2 linked regions of the Saccharomyces cerevisiae S288C genome follow. The protein of the gene in region 1 binds, or shares a complex with, the protein of each later gene. Each region holds a gene or a part of one and is shown in the gene's direction. Other genes may lie near its edges. The genes, in order: CDC14 and SWI6.

Region 1 (3,695 bases):
AGGATTTTCCAGTTCGCGTGGTCGTCATAGTTGGGCTCGAGTAAGCTGCTTGAGTAATTCTCCTTAGTGGTGTGTTCTTCTTGATCACGGGTGGTGCCAGTCGTGAGTGGGTGGTCCGACCCTACCTCTGTATTCGCATTATGCATCTTCGAAGCCACAATATGGAAGAGTTCGAGCAGTGATGATTTCTCCTTAACTGTAGGGTCTGATAGTGTCTTGTTATCAGCTTCTAGCCCAGCAGTGGAGGAAGAGCGCGATGGCGTTAGCGATAGTGATGATGATGATGGTGAAGTCTTTACTATAGCGGGGAGCTCATCGCTTTCGCTTTCGCCCTGTCCGGTAGTACTTCTGAAGAAGTCAATCTGACGAGCCAAATCTCGCAGCGGCTTGATGGCTGAAAGTAGTCGAACATTTTCTCGCTGACAGATGGGACACGCAGTTTGCTTGTTCGAAGTTTCCCTGCATAAATCATTGAATAGCGATTCAGATATACAGCAGCCACACGTAAGCACAGAGCAGTCTTTGACTATACCGTATTGCACATGTGATTCGTCAGTACCAGTTGCACCATCGAGTGATAGCCGTTGCGGTAGATAGAGGTCGTGTTCTATATCGTCGAGCACCCTCGCTATATCCGTCTGGCGGCCCCACTTTTGTCTATGAGAGTGCATGAACGCCTATCAGTTGTGTATTTCGTACCTATGTATGTGTGAGTGTGCGTGTGCTAAATTTTACGGGTATCTTTTCAGTGCTGATAAGGTAATCATTGATGACTACTGTAATGGTAATGTTAATAAGACGAATAACTCCTCCGCTTGAAAAAGGTGTGAAAATCAAAAGTGCGCCTCATGAAATAATGATAAAGGAATCTTTATATAGCAAAGTAATCAACAAAAACGACTCTCGGTAGCCAAGTTGGTTTAAGGCGCAAGACTGTAATTTACCACTACGAAATCTTGAGATCGGGCGTTCGACTCGCCCCCGGGAGATATTTTTTTCTGAAATTTTTTTGGCTTTATTTTTTCATTAATACACCTGTGTTAGTTATGATTGCCACTAGCTTATATACGTGACTTCTGTGACTTCTGTGACTACTGATGTGTTTTTAGTAGAATACAACTGTTTTTTTCTGTAATGCGTTTTCACATATTGGCACCAGAAAGTGTCGTTACTTTATAAAGCAAGCGACTAGAACAACAATCACACACACACACACACACACACACACACACACACACACACACACACACACACACACACACAAGCTATGAGCCTGATAACGTGAGTCATTCGTTTTTTAGCCGATAGTAGAGATATGCATTTGAAGGCCATTGCTATTGTGTCAATCAAGAAAGCTGTATCACTTTCAACGGGGAATGTACTTTTAGCACCATAAGTTTTTCTTCACTTGGTTCAAAGGTAAACAAATTGAAATTGAAACAATAATGTACCAAATATTTCCGATTCGTTCGAGGTATAATACGAAACAATTGCACAGAGGCTGGGACTACAAAGTACGCTTATAAAAAAAAAAAAAAAATGCGTAGGAGTGTATACCTCGACAACACGATCGAGTTCCTGCGAGGCAGAGTATATCTCGGTGCATATGATTACACGCCGGAAGATACTGATGAGCTGGTGTTTTTTACCGTGGAGGACGCAATCTTTTACAACAGTTTCCATTTGGATTTCGGTCCCATGAACATTGGACATCTATATCGTTTTGCCGTTATTTTCCATGAAATCTTGAATGACCCAGAAAATGCCAATAAAGCCGTTGTTTTCTATTCATCTGCATCGACCAGACAACGTGCTAACGCCGCATGTATGCTTTGCTGTTATATGATCCTCGTTCAGGCATGGACTCCGCATCAAGTGCTTCAGCCGTTGGCGCAAGTAGACCCTCCCTTCATGCCATTTAGAGATGCCGGTTATTCTAATGCGGATTTCGAAATCACAATTCAAGATGTGGTTTATGGCGTTTGGAGGGCTAAGGAAAAAGGCCTTATTGATTTGCATTCCTTCAATTTGGAGAGTTACGAGAAATACGAACACGTGGAGTTTGGAGACTTCAATGTACTCACCCCAGATTTTATTGCATTTGCGTCACCACAAGAGGACCATCCAAAGGGCTATCTCGCTACCAAATCTTCACATTTGAACCAGCCGTTTAAGTCAGTTCTGAATTTTTTCGCCAACAATAACGTCCAATTAGTGGTAAGGTTGAATTCTCATTTATATAATAAAAAGCATTTTGAAGACATTGGCATTCAACATTTGGATCTAATTTTCGAAGATGGTACATGTCCTGATCTTTCCATTGTAAAAAACTTTGTTGGTGCTGCTGAAACGATAATTAAAAGGGGAGGTAAAATTGCTGTGCACTGTAAGGCTGGGCTAGGTAGAACTGGTTGTTTAATTGGTGCTCACTTAATATACACGTATGGATTTACCGCTAACGAGTGTATTGGCTTCTTAAGGTTTATAAGGCCGGGAATGGTCGTTGGCCCTCAACAGCATTGGTTATATTTACACCAGAATGATTTTAGAGAATGGAAGTACACAACCAGAATTTCTTTGAAGCCTAGTGAGGCCATTGGCGGCTTATATCCCTTAATAAGTTTAGAAGAATACCGCTTACAAAAAAAGAAACTTAAAGACGACAAGAGGGTTGCGCAAAATAACATTGAAGGTGAATTAAGAGATTTAACCATGACGCCGCCATCCAACGGTCATGGGGCGCTTAGTGCCAGAAATTCGAGCCAACCTTCTACGGCGAATAATGGAAGTAATTCATTCAAGAGCTCAGCCGTCCCACAGACTTCGCCTGGTCAGCCGAGAAAGGGCCAAAACGGTTCTAATACTATAGAAGATATCAACAATAATCGTAATCCAACTTCCCATGCGAATAGGAAGGTAGTAATAGAAAGCAACAACTCAGATGACGAATCCATGCAGGATACCAACGGCACAAGTAATCATTATCCCAAAGTTTCGCGCAAGAAAAATGATATCTCCTCTGCTTCATCGTCCCGAATGGAAGATAACGAACCCAGCGCAACGAACATCAATAATGCCGCAGATGATACCATACTAAGACAACTATTGCCCAAGAATAGGAGAGTAACGTCAGGGAGAAGGACTACAAGCGCCGCCGGTGGTATAAGAAAAATAAGTGGCTCCATCAAGAAATAATTTATTTCATTTTTATATATATATATATCATATAATAAAAAAACTTACTAATAATAACCTTGAAAAGTTTTATGCCATTTTTCCAGTGTCCCTTCTCGCTGTCTTTTCGAAAGAGTCATATGTATACCGGCAATAGTAACTTGCCTGATTTATGCATAATGCCGTTGTATTTGCTAGCCAGTTTTCCACCGCTGTCTGTGGGTTGCGACCATGCTACCTGGTACCTAGGAATAACTTCACCGTAAACAATATTTTCTCTTGCAACGTCAATCAATTTGGTTGCGATACCCAACTTCCTTGCTGTCCTGCACACCCAAATTCTCGATATGCCAATCTTAAAATCGGGGTACACATTCTGTACCAATCTTCTAGAATCATAAACCATCCAACGTCCACGACTAGATGTTTTACCATTGCCCCCATAAAGGTTCTCTATAATTATTATTCCGACCGCCCTGTCATTTCTTATGTATACAAACGCTTTGCCTTTTTCTTCTGTG
Region 2 (5,083 bases), on another chromosome or scaffold:
ATCCGTCGGTGGTGGTGCCTTCTCCGGTAAGGACTACTCTAAGGTTGATCGTTCTGCCGCTTATGCCGCTAGATGGGTTGCCAAGTCCCTAGTTGCCGCTGGTTTATGTAAGAGAGTTCAAGTTCAATTTTCTTATGCCATCGGTATTGCGGAACCATTGTCCTTGCACGTTGACACCTATGGTACTGCGACCAAGTCTGACGAAGAAATTATCGACATTATCAGCAAGAACTTTGACTTGAGACCTGGTGTATTGGTCAAGGAGTTGGACTTAGCTAGACCAATCTACTTGCCAACCGCTTCTTATGGCCATTTCACAAACCAAGAATACCCATGGGAAAAGCCTAAGACTTTGAAGTTCTAAGCTTTTTTCCTTTTGGACTTTTTTCTGCCTTCAACCTCCCATGTTTTCATTTGCTCAACACAAGTCAACATGTACATTATACCGTATTTGATGCAGGGACGCAATACCATCATATTCTTGATATAGACTCATTTTTCTCAAATCAAATTTGTATCGATTTCATTTTGCATTATACAGGATTCCTTTTCCTTTCTAACATTTAATACGTAACTACTAATATTAATATATACCTCCTTCAACGGATCAACAAACCAAACTTTATCTTATTCAAATAGAATTTAACAGATCCAACGCCTTAGTTAACTCATCTTTGGCGGTGGGCAGGTCTTCATAATTCAATGCGCTTATGGCGTATTTGGCAAGTTTTTGAATTTGCTCTATTTTACTGGCCCTGTCCATAATTTTTGTCAACTCATCCTTTGTATACGATTTATGCTCTGCTGCAGCAGGTTCTGATGGTGCAGAAGGGCGCGTAAGATCCACTTCTTTCTTCACAACTTGTTGTTCGTCTTTTGTTATTGCATCTTCGTTCTTGTCGACGGTCTGTTCTTCTTCGTTTACGCTATCGGCATCATCAATAAATTCAGGTACCTCATCCACAGGCTCGTATGATGTTGTTTGGTCTTTTGGGGCTAGGCCTTCGACTTTATCATTATTATTGTTTTCCAAATCGCTTGTCTGGTGATCAACATCTTCATCCTTAATCTCCTCGCTATCATCCGCAAAATCTGCATAATCTAACGTTTTCTCGTCGCTGGAACCAATTTCACCCTTTGCCAATTTACTCAAATAAATTTTGCAATACTTAATTCGTTTTTGTAATGAATTTGTACTCGTTTCACTTATATTTTCCTTCCACAGGTGTAAAATGCATGAAAATAAATCAATACAACACCAAAGTGATCTTTTTAACATAACATCCCAGGGACCATCTTTTAGCTGTTTCAGTTTCTCGTTATACAACGACATTGTAAAATTTAGCATATAAATTTTGGCTTTTTCTTGATCATGTATTAGCGTGTTCATAACGTGTAAGCTTTTGTCACTGTCTTCTGCTTCACTCTCGCCGCCAATCTCCTTCTTAAACGCTTCAATAGTATCAAGAAGTTCTGTCGCTAGTGCGGTCATCTCTTGCGACCGATCTTCTTCACTCAGTATCAATTCCACCGCATATAACTGAAGATAGTATCCGATGATCCCTAACCCAACTTTGTCAAAATCCTTCGCTGTAGCGACAACCCTTGCAGCGTTACTAGCCATAGAATTTATTTAAAATGTGGACAATTAGTTTCTAAAAATTGAATCAAATAAAATAAGAAAGCTTATTGTTCCTTTTTTTGTCTTCATCTGGACCGTTTGGATAAGATCATTCACCAAATCTTAGTTTTTTTTTTTAGTTTCCTTCTCCAACGATTTCATAATAATAAAAAAAAACAACAAAAAACACGATTGAGAAACATCAATATGAACTAAGCAATAGCTAAAAAAAAAAGAATAATAAAGGGGAACACAGTATAATTCTCGAGAGGATGGCGTTGGAAGAAGTGGTACGATACTTAGGACCTCACAATGAGATCCCTTTGACACTCACTAGAGACTCGGAGACTGGCCATTTCCTCCTGAAACATTTTCTGCCCATTTTGCAGCAATATCATGACACGGGGAATATTAACGAGACCAACCCCGATAGTTTCCCCACTGATGAGGAAAGAAATAAATTACTGGCACATTATGGAATTGCTGTAAATACAGACGACCGAGGTGAGTTATGGATAGAGCTGGAAAAATGTTTACAATTATTAAACATGCTAAATTTATTCGGTTTGTTCCAGGATGCATTCGAATTTGAGGAGCCTGAAACAGATCAGGATGAAGAAGATCCCAGCCATTCGAAACTACCAGAAAACAAGACCAAAAGTGAAAATTCTAAGGATAATATCAGCTCAAAGAGGATTAATAATTTACAAGATATGAGCCTGGATTCTGATGCACACAGAGAATTAGGCTCTCCTTTAAAAAAACTAAAAATAGATACCTCTGTAATAGATGCTGAGAGTGACTCCACTCCGAATACTGCCAGAGGCAAGCCTAACGATGATATTAATAAGGGCCCTAGCGGCGACAATGAAAATAATGGCACTGATGACAATGACAGAACCGCTGGACCTATCATAACATTCACTCATGACCTAACTTCTGACTTTTTAAGCAGTCCACTGAAAATCATGAAAGCACTACCTTCTCCAGTTGTAAATGATAATGAACAGAAGATGAAACTAGAGGCATTCTTACAACGGTTGTTATTTCCAGAAATTCAAGAAATGCCTACATCCCTTAATAATGACAGCAGTAATAGAAATTCAGAAGGGGGGAGCTCAAACCAACAACAACAGCACGTATCATTTGATAGCCTTTTGCAAGAGGTAAACGACGCTTTTCCTAATACTCAATTAAATCTTAATATTCCTGTAGATGAGCATGGAAACACACCATTACATTGGCTGACTTCAATAGCAAACCTGGAATTAGTGAAACACCTGGTTAAGCATGGTTCAAACAGATTATATGGTGATAATATGGGGGAGTCATGCCTAGTGAAAGCTGTCAAATCAGTAAATAATTACGACTCTGGTACTTTTGAGGCACTTCTAGATTATTTATATCCATGTTTAATTTTGGAAGACTCAATGAATAGAACAATTTTGCACCATATCATTATTACGTCTGGTATGACTGGCTGTTCAGCAGCTGCGAAATATTATTTAGATATTTTAATGGGATGGATTGTCAAGAAACAAAATAGACCCATTCAAAGTGGTACTAACGAAAAAGAAAGCAAACCGAATGACAAAAATGGGGAAAGAAAGGACTCTATACTAGAAAATTTGGACCTGAAATGGATAATAGCAAACATGCTCAATGCGCAGGACTCTAATGGCGATACTTGCTTGAACATTGCAGCAAGATTGGGAAACATTTCAATAGTAGACGCTTTATTAGATTACGGTGCTGACCCATTTATTGCAAACAAATCAGGGTTGAGACCCGTGGATTTTGGGGCAGGTACTTCAAAATTACAAAATACGAACGGCGGTGACGAAAACTCGAAGATGGTCTCTAAGGGTGATTACGACGGTCAAAAAAATGGAAAGGCCAAAAAAATAAGGTCTCAACTGTTGAAAAACCCACCTGAAACAACTTCGTTAATTAATGATGTCCAAAATTTACTGAATTCAATCTCGAAAGATTATGAGAATGAAACAGTGCAATATAATGAGAAATTAGAAAAACTACACAAGGAATTGAACGAACAGCGAGAAGAATTAGCTAATTCTAGAGAACAACTAGCAAATGTGAAGCAATTGAAAGATGAATACTCACTAATGCAAGAGCAATTGACCAATTTAAAAGCAGGAATTGAAGAAGAAGAGGAAAGTTTTAGGGAAGAGAGCAAAAAGCTAGGAATAATTGCAGATGAAAGTTCAGGTATTGATTGGGACTCTAGCGAATATGATGCAGATGAACCCTTCAAAGTAGAGTTCCTTTCAGATTTCTTGGAGGATAAATTACAAAAGAATTATGAAGGCGATATTTCCAAACTATTAGAAGCGGAGTCGAAAGAGCAGATAATGGAACAGATACGAAATCAACTTCCCGCAGAAAAAATCCAATCGATGCTTCCACCAACGGTCTTATTGAAGGCAAGAATAAATGCATACAAGCGGAATGATAAACACCTAACCAATGTATTGGATACAATCAGCACCAAACAATCAGAATTAGAGAATAAATTTAGAAGAGTGTTATCTTTATGTTTGAAAATCGACGAAAATAAAGTTGACAATATGCTTGATGGTTTGTTACAGGCCATATCTTCTGAAGACCCACAAGACATTGACACTGACGAAATGCAAGATTTTTTAAAAAAGCATGCTTCATGAGGGCATGTGATTTCATTGCATTAACTTTTATGACTTTATTTGAAGTTATTTTTTTGTTTTAGCGCTTTATTTACTTTTATTTTACTACATAACTGTATTCTTACAAAATTTTTACGTACTCAGATGGGATATATAGGCACTTGATGTTTTATTTTCTTGTTCTTATCATATATCCGATGGAATAAAATGTTCTATTTTGCTGGCTTTTTCCAAAAATATTGTTTATGTGTCCTTCTACAAGATCTTAAGCCTGTCCTTCCACCTTTTAATGAACTCACCAAGTTTCTTCTCTCGTAATCATCATCGTTTTCTAAATCGTAGAAATACTCTTCGTCCAATGGTTTGCCGGCGGCGTCCTTACCATGACGGTAAATGACACCGACACATTTCGCGTCGCTCAAAATCGAACGTAATTCATCTCTTGAAAGCTCAGAAATTTGTGAGTTCACCTGCTGTAATTGGAATAATGGCGTCTGCTGGACGTTTGCAAAAGCTAGGTGATTGGTTAAAATATGCTGTAGATGCATAACATCAATATTTCTTCTAGATAGCTCATCCAAATTCTCTTTCACCGATTTTTTTGGCTTTGAAGGTAAGACCCTCTTGTTAAGTTTTGGTTTCTTCATAGTCATAGGATTTTTATCAGATGATAGTGAATCTTGTCTCAGGGTTTGTTCCTCGTGATCAACAGAGGAGACGGATGAAAGTGGGGACGATTTAGAATTTAGGAAGTGGTTTAGCATCCTTTCTGCAACGCCAGAATCACTACCAATTGAGA

The links.
Region 2: the proteins of CDC14 (region 1) and SWI6 are in contact, whole or in part, in a crystal structure (PDB 5XW5), measured with the Saccharomyces cerevisiae proteins. Residues at the interface, in NP_116684.3 of Saccharomyces cerevisiae: Phe47 (codon at 1,678), Ala130 (codon at 1,927), Gly131 (codon at 1,930), Tyr132 (codon at 1,933), Ser133 (codon at 1,936), Glu171 (codon at 2,050), Val173 (codon at 2,056), Asp177 (codon at 2,068), Asp253 (codon at 2,296), Gly254 (codon at 2,299), Lys284 (codon at 2,389), Ala285 (codon at 2,392), Gly286 (codon at 2,395), Leu287 (codon at 2,398), Gly288 (codon at 2,401), Arg289 (codon at 2,404), Arg317 (codon at 2,488), Val322 (codon at 2,503); in NP_013283.1 of Saccharomyces cerevisiae: Glu157 (codon at 2,362), Leu158 (codon at 2,365), Gly159 (codon at 2,368), Ser160 (codon at 2,371), Pro161 (codon at 2,374), Leu162 (codon at 2,377), Lys163 (codon at 2,380).

Annotation. Positions count from the first base shown.
Region 1 is NC_001138.5:207,913-211,607, reverse strand, and holds CDC14 (phosphoprotein phosphatase CDC14), read left to right. Parts: upstream 1-1,539; coding exon 1,540-3,195; downstream 3,196-3,695. Other genes in the region: PTR3 (Ptr3p), read right to left, coding at 1-671; ECO1 (Eco1p), read right to left, coding at 3,311-3,695. UniProt on the Saccharomyces cerevisiae protein: Protein phosphatase which antagonizes mitotic cyclin-dependent kinase CDC28, the inactivation of which is essential for exit from mitosis. To access its substrates, is released from nucleolar sequestration during mitosis.
Region 2 is NC_001144.5:516,047-521,129, forward strand, and holds SWI6 (transcriptional regulator SWI6), read left to right. Parts: upstream 1-1,893; coding exon 1,894-4,305; downstream 4,306-5,083. Other genes in the region: methionine adenosyltransferase SAM1, read left to right, coding at 1-364; VTA1 (Vta1p), read right to left, coding at 632-1,624; TOS4 (Tos4p), read right to left, coding at 4,497-5,083. UniProt on the Saccharomyces cerevisiae protein: Part of a complex involved in cell-cycle-dependent transcription. SWI4 and SWI6 are required for formation of the cell-cycle box factor-DNA complex. The repeated element in the upstream region of HO (5'-CACGAAAA-3') is called the cell cycle box (CCB).